2 linked regions of the Ovis aries genome follow. The protein of the gene in region 2 purifies or fractionates together with the protein of the main gene of each other region. This does not show direct contact. Links are inferred from orthologs where the notes say so. Each region holds a gene or a part of one and is shown on either strand. Other genes may lie near its edges. The genes, in order: SH2D1A and SLAMF6.

What was found.
Region 1: the proteins of SLAMF6 (region 2) and SH2D1A purify together in Homo sapiens (co-immunoprecipitation; 5 studies listed by BioGRID and IntAct, with this or other methods). This does not show direct contact. The link is inferred for Ovis aries from reciprocal best matches to the Homo sapiens genes SLAMF6 and SH2D1A.

What each region holds. Positions count from the first base shown.
Region 1 is NC_056080.1:108,290,908-108,295,452, forward strand, and holds the start of SH2D1A (SH2 domain-containing protein 1A), read left to right. Parts: upstream 1-1,592; 5' UTR 1,593-1,767; coding exon 1,768-1,904; intron 1,905-4,545.
Region 2 is NC_056054.1:111,557,402-111,561,919, reverse strand, and holds the start of SLAMF6 (SLAM family member 6), read left to right. Parts: upstream 1-1,652; 5' UTR 1,653-1,665; coding exon 1,666-1,771; intron 1,772-4,518. UniProt on the Homo sapiens protein: Self-ligand receptor of the signaling lymphocytic activation molecule (SLAM) family.

The sequences.
Region 1 (4,545 bases), on a different chromosome or scaffold from region 2:
CATCAATCAAGGAGAGTTACTATGAACTGCCATTTAAATGGTAGAGAGTTGTTTTCAACCCTAGTGGATGGCAAATATCTGGCTTTTGGTGTAAGGCAGCTTTGCAACATCTGATCCATTGGTAGGACTAGTGAGGATTTAAAAATTGTTCTCCCTATTGGGGTCCCAGATGGGCCAGGCTCTCAAGGAACTAGGTGTGACATTGTTGAAGAGACACAACAGACAACATAATTTCAGCTACTTAAATTTTAATTTTAAAAAGTATTTTACAGGGACTTCCCTGGTGGTCCAGTGGTATAAGATTTCACCTTCTGATGTAGGGGGTGTGGGTTTGATGAAGACCCCCTGGAGGAGGGCATGGCAATCTCCTCCGCTGTTCTTGCCTGGAGAATCCCATGGACAGAGGAGCCTGGTGGGCTACAGTCCACAGGGTTGCAAAGAATTGGACACAACTGAAGCGACTTAGCATACATGCATGGGAAGCTAAGATCCCAGATGCCTTGCAGCCAAAAAACCAAAGCATAAAACAGAAGCAATATTATAAAAACTTCCATAAAGACTAAAAATGGTCTACATCAAAAACAATCTAAAAAGAAAAAGAAAAGTATGTTACACACTCAAAAGAAAAAATGTAGAAGAGCATTCAGCTTCAAACATTAAACAAGGTCTCGTTCTAGTGAAAAATGAGGAAGTTTGGGGGAAATATTACTTAACAGCACATCTTGAAATACAAGAGAGAAGGAAACAAAGGTTGAAAGGTTCTAAAAAATTTGATAGCTTAGCATCAATTGAACAAAAACCATATTCTCTACTAACTACAGATGATAAAAGATACAACGCAATTATCAACACTCACAATGGACTTAAGTTTGATGTCCCAAATGCTAAAAGGTAGGCCCTGTATGTCAAAAGGCACAGACAAGTCCGCATGAAGGCAAAACACCAATGAAATGATTTATTCTCTCATCTAAGGCCCATCAAATAGATACATCTGGAACATCTTTGGACACAGACTGATTTTTGTACCTCAACCAGCACTTTGGGATCTTGGACAAGAAGCCTGGAAATGTTTGATTTGTTCAGGATCAAGATTGCTGGAGATGACTAGGAGGAGTCAAAGAGAAGGGGGAGGGTTTGGGGAGGGGAGGCAGTGGATCCCAAGTCCGCTGTTCACTTCTTGCCTCTGATTCCCTAGGAGCCTCCTGCCTGTGCTCAGTGGGGATCACCCACTGACAATACTGATGACCTCTGTGTTTTGGTCTCAGAGCTTTTGGGCCTTTCATTCTCTGTCAGTATGTTTCTGCCCCACATGAAGATCAACACGGCTTCCCTGTCTCATTAACCCCTTTGGGGACTATTTAAGCTAAGTCAGGGTGGCCTTCCTGGGAAAACTACAAGGACAGAAACATTACCAGGCATTCGTGTCTGCATGCATTGGGAGCACAGGCCACATCCTGCAAGGACCTTCTTCCAATAGTCCTCCCCTCTCTGTCCATCCATCCACCCCAACCCTTTTGTGGCAGAGGCGGAGCAGAGAGGGGAGGGGGGAATTGAACCCTAGGGCAGTAGCCAAGCTGCTAAACTGCTGACCTGGTTTTCACTGAAGTGCGAGAAGGAGGCTGTGAGGCAGGTAGACAACATCCTGTTGTTGGGGCGCTCCTTTCTCTTTTTTGAACATCTGGCTGAACAGGGAGGCAGGTGGCTGAGTCGTGCCTGGTTGCGGCGGCAGCAGCAACAGCGGCCTTTCCCTGCTACTGTCCCCTGGCCATGGACGCGGTGGCTGTGTATCATGGCAAGATCAGCCGGGAGACGGGGGAGAAGCTCCTGCTCGCCACGGGCCTGGATGGCAGCTATCTGCTGAGGGACAGCGAGAGTGTTCCCGGCGTGTACTGTCTGTGTGTGCTGTGAGTACATGACGGGGCCCTGGAGCCCCCACTGCCCACCGTGCGGCTCACGTCCCTCACTGGGGTTGTCTCGCCTGGGCTTCCTGCTCTTCAGAGGGTCTTCTCCAGCGCCTTTGGGGGCGGCTGTAGGAATGCTCTTTGCAGTGGAGGAAAAGGAGCCTAGAATTTACCTTTGCTGCCAAAAGGACTCAGGCTCCTGGCTTCAGGTTGGACCTCTGGTAGAGGCCAGCAAGGTGGAGGCCTGGGATGAGGGAATGGCCAGATATAGGGCCACCAGCTCCTCAGAGGAGAGGCCTTTCTCTCCAGCCCTCTGGCAATGGCTTTGAAGGTATCTTCCCAAAGGAAGATTTCAAATTCAAGGAGAGGAAGAAGACTAAGAAATGGAATCCTTTAAGACAGCAATACCAGTTAGGTCAGGATGTGGGAGAGAGGGACGTTTCTGAATAAAACCACCTCTCTGGATTTGCTTAATTAGCTTTCTTTACAGGAGTTGGAGGGGGGTGGGGTGGGGTTTCAGAAATAGGGCCTTTCCGTGATAAACGCTGGGAGAGACAATAGTCGTAAAGGACATGGAGGGAAAGCACCCTGGTATGATTCAGCTTTGCCCTTTACCTAAGCATCTCTTGGTCTAAAGCCCCATTTTGAATCAGATGCACCTTCATCTTTGCTCCAGGGCTCCAGGGTCAGGCAGAGCTAAGACCTAATCTTGTGCTAGTCTGATGCTGGCTTTGGCAAGTTAACCTCACAGTCCCTCAGTTTTCTTGTCCAAAAAGTGTAATATTACTACCTACCTCATAGGACTGAGCATTAAATGCTGTAATGCACGTAGAAAATTTAGCACTGGACCTGATGCATACTAAGTGTTCAGTAAAAGTAAGCTGTTGTTGTTATTATTTTTTCACTCTCTTTCAGTACTTTTTATTATAATATATTATATATATATATAAAATGTATATATATTTCAGTCAATATCTTTAAGTACTCACGGGGTGTTTCTAAGGAAGTCCCTAGCTCAATCACTCTTTGTTAGCAGGGTAAAAACACTCATGAAAGCAGCAGCCCTGTACAGTAGCTTCTAGACAGAAACAAAATGAGGGAAAATGCTTGGTTGTAATTTTGGTGTCTGATGATACATGGCAAGATTTTGAAGTTCCTTTAGGTCATTGATGAGAGATTGTATTGAGCCTGGTGTTAGAGGATTTTCATTGTTTATTGTATTATTTTTAAATGGGCAAGGCATATTTGTGGCAACTCTCAGGCCATGCTAAAAACGTTTGTTATAAAAGCTACAAGGGATATATGTGCAAGCTAGTGAATCCCTTGGGCTCAGATTTTAGGTTTTCCTTATATTATTGTTTCTCGAAAGTGAAAACTGGGGTAGGTCAGTGAAAGCCAACTCGTATTCCTAGGCTCTTTTCTTATCAATAGAAGGTGGAGGAGTGAGTGAACTGGTGAGAGGAGCTTCTTTAGGAAAGCTCACCAAAGGAGGTAATGGGACCCTCAACCTAGAGGTAAAAATTAAGGTACAAAAGGCCTGGGAAGGGAAGGAAGAGCCGGGGACAGTGTGTGGCAGGATGTTCCTAAGACTTCAGACGCACTGGCCTCTTTGTTGTTTCTCGAGCTTGCCAAGCTGCTCCTTGCTTAGGATCTTCACACTTAACTGTTCCTTCTCCCTCTTCTCTCAGAGAGGACTTCCTTGACTAGCCTCTAAAATAAGTCCCTTCTCCCTGTCCCAGTTATAATCTGTCACTTTAGTTTTCTTCTGGGAGCTTTCAGCTGTCTGACGTTTGCTTGTCTACTTTTGTCTTGCTGGGCTCTCCTGCTACAATGTAATCTCTCTGGGGCAGAGACACCATCTCCCGCACCAGGAACACAGCCTGGCATGCAACAGGTATCATGAGGCATGCAACAGGCACTCAATAAATGTTTCTGAATTAATGAATGAACTGTCAAGGCAAATTCTTTATGGCAGTAGGCTTTTGGGCTGATATCAGGAGGCCAGGATGTGGCCTCTGGGACATCACTCAACTTTTGTAGGTCTTGGTTTCCATATTTCTAAAACAAGAATAATAATGTGTGCTCTATCTTCTGCAGAAGATTATAGTTGGTAAAAGATGCAAGAGAGAAGGATAATCTTAGCCTATTACTCAAATTGGCCAGGGCCACGTAAGGAATTAACTTAGACAGATGGGAAATTCGCAGATTAAGTTTTTGTCCAAAGTGAATCTTGCCTAAATGCAGTTTTTATGACTGTAGGTTCTCCATGCAAACCTTTTTATGAAGTAGCAGAAAATAGTCGGCAAATTGGGAGTCCCCCTAACATATCTTTCAGTGGGCACACTGGGCCTCCAAGTCCTAGAGGCTAATGGCCAGACTGCTGCAGAGGGAAGACACAATGATACAGTGCCTTTTATGACAGTTTCTCAGCTTTTTTTTGAGCCAAGGATCCCTTCTGATAAACGTAAACATTTCATTTCCTCTTTTTTAGTACTACACTGTAGTAACAAAATCAAATTTTATTTTGAAATAAACCATATACTCATTTTTAAACCAAAACACGTATAGTTATGATATACAGAAGAAATAACAATGTTGACGGTGACATATATAAATGAACAACAAAGTACAGCTAACAAACATG
Region 2 (4,518 bases):
AGCCCAGGAGACAGCACCTCAGATAGCTCTGAGAAACTGTTCCAAAGAGGCAGGGGGAGAAGGTAGGTATGTATGTGATTTTGGTGAAGGAGAAATACATGCAATCAAGCACATATTTTCCCAGAAGTTTTCTGCTAGTCTGGTGAAACTTTCTGCTTATTGTATTTGTCAATCCAAAATCCTGGATTGACATCAAGGAACAGTTGTCACCAGGAAGGATTTTAGTGTTTTTCTAGATATAAGGAGATACAAGAATTGGGCTCATAAAATTGACTCCTGAAAATATCTGTTAGACTAAACACACTGACTGAAACCACCTACCCTGGCCCGGCACCATAAGAACCATTTGCTTGAGTTATTTTACAACAGGAGGTCTTGGAAAGGAATACAGAACTAGTAAGCCACCACCAACCAAAAGAGTTTGGCAAAGGTCAAAGGAGATGCCATGTGTCCTACCGCCTTCCCAGAATCCTTCTCACTGACTTCCTTCTTGGCTGAGTAATATGTGTGCCACCAGGATGGACCCTGAATCAGAATGATTGGCTAGAAACAACCCAGAAACTCACCCCATCACCATAAAACCCAAGACTGCGAGCCACATGGTGGAGCAGTCCTCTCAGGTCCCCTTCCCCTCCTGCTCTCTGCCTGGGCACCCCTTCCCAATAAAGACTCCTTCTTTGTCAGCACAAGTGTCTCCTCTGACAACACTCATTTCTGAGTGTTAGACAAGAACCCACTTTCAAGCCCTGGAAGGTGTCTCCTTTCTTGCAACCTAACTATTTGAAGACCTGTCCTGCCAGTTTTTCCCAGAGCACAGGGTGCCTCATTGTATTCTCTACCCTGAACTCCTTTAAGGAGCTGTTGAAGATCAGCAGCTGCAGCAACACATGATTTAACCATTGTAAAGGAAGACAGCAAGTGCCCATGGCAAGTGCCAATTTGTAGTTGACATTTGTTTTACCACAATTAAAAAAAAAAAGAATCAAAATAAAAGAAGAAAGGATATAGATAGTAAGAAATGGAGTATTTCCTGCCATAGCAGTAAACAAGAATGTCACAGTCATCAGTGATTCCAATCCTCCAGTGCAACCATGAAAGAGAAGACTACCTGTGGTCCAACAGCTATCACGCTGCCTCCACTCACTTCAAGGAACCAAGGATGTAAAAAAATGCAGGATGCTGGCCCCAGGTAGCTGAGATGCATATGAACAGAATGATTTCAGTAAGCCCAGACTCTTGCATCTTCCATACATAGAAAAGTGCTAAATTCATTAACTTGAGATATTTCATTAAGTAACAATAATCTTTGATGTTCGGACTACCTGCCCCTTGTTGCAAATTTCTATATAGCCTAACTCCTCCCCACCACCTTCTCGGAACACTTCTCTCAGGGTTACTTGAGATGCTGTCTCCCAGGTCTGAAGTCCTAAAAATTTCTGCCAAATAAAACATAACTCTCAACTTTTAAGTTGTAATTATTTTTAAATTTTACAGTAGTGAAGATTCCAGTTCACATCACACATGATTTTTGCACTTAGCTCAGAAAAAAAATAAACAAATTTACAAAATAAAATTGGGACTTTTAGTGAGGGGGAAGAAGGTCTTGCCACGCCTCTGAGAGGAAACAGGCAGCGTTGATCAGAAGCACTTTCAGTTTATGAGTGAATGGCAAGAACGCTGACTATCTTGACGTCTCCAACACCATTCTCCACTGCTAAGAGCATGATCTGGCTGTTCCTGTCTCTCCTGCTTGTCTCCCGCCTTGGCCCAGGTAAATGCTGAAGTATACCCATGTAGTCATTCATGTTTGACTCCTGGTTTTGTGCAGTTTGCGCGATCTAAATCACCTACATTTAGGTGTCTGTCTGTATCTCTACTAAGGGATCCGGTGGGGCTCACAGAGGTGCCTGATAAACTGCCATTGCCTCTCAACTTAAAAGCTTACCACCTGAGATCATTTAGAGTTAACAGCTTCAACTGTGTCTGTATTTAAATGAATTATACGCTGGGGCATGGGAAATGAGCTTTTCTAAGACACGACTGGGGTTTATAGCCAGCATGTTGTGATATAAAGATAGCTAAGGTTAAGAAAAGAAGCCTTCTCACCAGAGTAGCTACTATCTTACTGCGTGATCACAAGTAGGCTACATGTTCTTTCTTAGCCTCATCGAAAATATTGAAAATCTATGGTTCTGCTTAGCTGAAATTTCTGAACCCAACTAAAACACTCAAAATAGTGTTCATGGTTTTTGCGTACTGTGAAAAAACTACTCTCCAGCTTTCCTTTCCTTTGATGCAAATCAGGGACTAGCTAGTCCAGCAATACTTACTCTGCCAGACAGGAATTCTCAGATCCTACATGCTTCTCACTCCCTGCTATCCATTATGTGGAAAACTTGAAGGTTCATGTCAGGTTTTGGGGAAACACGAGTGGTCCAGTGGGGCCAAAGTACAGGAAGGGGTAGGAGACAAGACAAGAAAGCTATCCCAGAACTAGCCCAGGGTAGCAGGTAAAAATAGTTAATATCCATTGTGGGCTTGTATTGTTCCAGGCACTGGGTCAAATGCTACACTTACATCATATACATAAGCTTTCTGACACTTCTAGGAGTCTGTACTATTATTATCCCCTTTTGAAATAACTCTCACAGATTTCATTAGCCAGTAGGTGGCAAGCTCTTGTGATAGTTTTGAGGAACAGTGACCACTGAATCAAAATGGTAGCAGCACAAGAGAGAGGACAGAAGCAAGAATCACCACAGACGTAGAATTAGCTAGATTACCTGGCAATGGGAATGAAGTGGGGAGAGAGTTCATTGTCATCCAATAAACAATCATTGAGCACCTACTGGATGCCCGGCACTATTCTAGTTTCTGAGTGTACACCATGAATGAAGCAGAAAAAAATTTCAGCCCTCACGGGGTTAACATTTTAGCAGAGGAAGCAAACTAAAAACAAAATAAATAAGTGAAACAAATAAGTATATTGGATAGTGATAAATGATAAGGAGGAAATAAATCAAGCAAGGAAAGGAGAGATTAAATATTGGGACAGTGAAATTTCAGACAGAATAGCCAAAAAGTTTACAAAGTTGGGAGGGGGAGGAGGGAGCAGCTGTGATGAGAAGAGGATTTCAATTTTGGACCTACTAATTTTAAGATGTCAGTGTGATATTCATGAGATTTCCTGAAAACAGCTGGAAATTTAGGACTAGAGGTAGAGCTGAGGCTGGAGGCTTGGAACTCACAGCATAGAAATAATAAATAAAGCTAAGGAGAAAATTGTAAGGAGGACAGAAACTTGGGGGATATGTACAAGAGCAGAAAGAGAAAAAAAGTTTACATTCAAGAGCTACTCCCTGGCCCAGGAGCCACGGAGGAAAAGACAAGAGATCCCTGTCTTTGCCTCATTGCAAAATTGAGCTCATCTCTAGAATTCAATATTCTGAATGTCCTCAGGTTAAAATTCCCATTTTTCTCCACATTCCCATTAATATTTCTCATAAGGGGCCCTATGAAATATACACTATTCCTATCGCCACTTTAAGGAAGAAGAATGAAGGCGTACAATGCTTGAGTAACTTGTTTACTGTCACACTGCTGTGGGGGAAGTGAATGGTATAGGAAATGAAACATACTCGAATGTGTGTGCAGGTGTTCTGAGGTCCAGGAAGAAAGCAGTAATTTGCAAGGTTATAATTTAGGGAGACTGGCTCCAGAGTCTATTCATAACCATTTTGCTATGCTGCATAGTTTACAAACAGCTATATATTCACATAAATGTATTTGTAATTATAAACTGTGATACTAAGAAGATAATAAGCAGGGTACTGATGCTGAAAACTCGGCCTCTGTGCATTGGTGCCGAATCAAGTCTCAGACACAGAGTTCTGGGTGAAGTAGAAAAGGATAGTTTTACTGGTTTGCCAGGAAAAGGGAGATACAGCAGGCTTCTGCTCTCAAAAAGCATGTGTCCCAACCTGGGAGGATTTGGTGAGGAGTTTTATAGCAAGGGTAGGATTGCTAATAAGGTTAGGGTGTGTGCAGGGCCTGTACTATTTTAATCTGGTCTCAGATAATCTGATGAGTTTCTGTGGTTCCTTTAATCTGGCCTGAGGTGGTCTTCTAGAAGAGCTTCTCTGCTGCTGCTAAATTGTTTCAGTCGTGTCCGACTCTGTGCGACCCCATAGACAGCAGCCCACCAGGCTCCCCTGTCCCTGGGGTTCTCCAGGCAAGAACACTGGAGTGGGTTGCCATTTCCCTCTCCAATGCATGAAAGGAAAAGTGAAAGTGAAGTGGCTCAGTCATGTCTGACTCTTAGGGACCCCATGGACTCCAGCCTACCAGGCTCCTCCGTCCTTGGGATTTTCCAGGCAAGAGTACTGGAGTGGGTTGCCATTGCCCTCTTGAAGAGCTTCTCTAGTTCCTTTAATCTGGAATGAAGAATGCTGGCATTTTCCATTTGTTGGGAGTGTTAGTTCTATTAGTATAAAGAGCTCAAAAATATTATGCATCCGT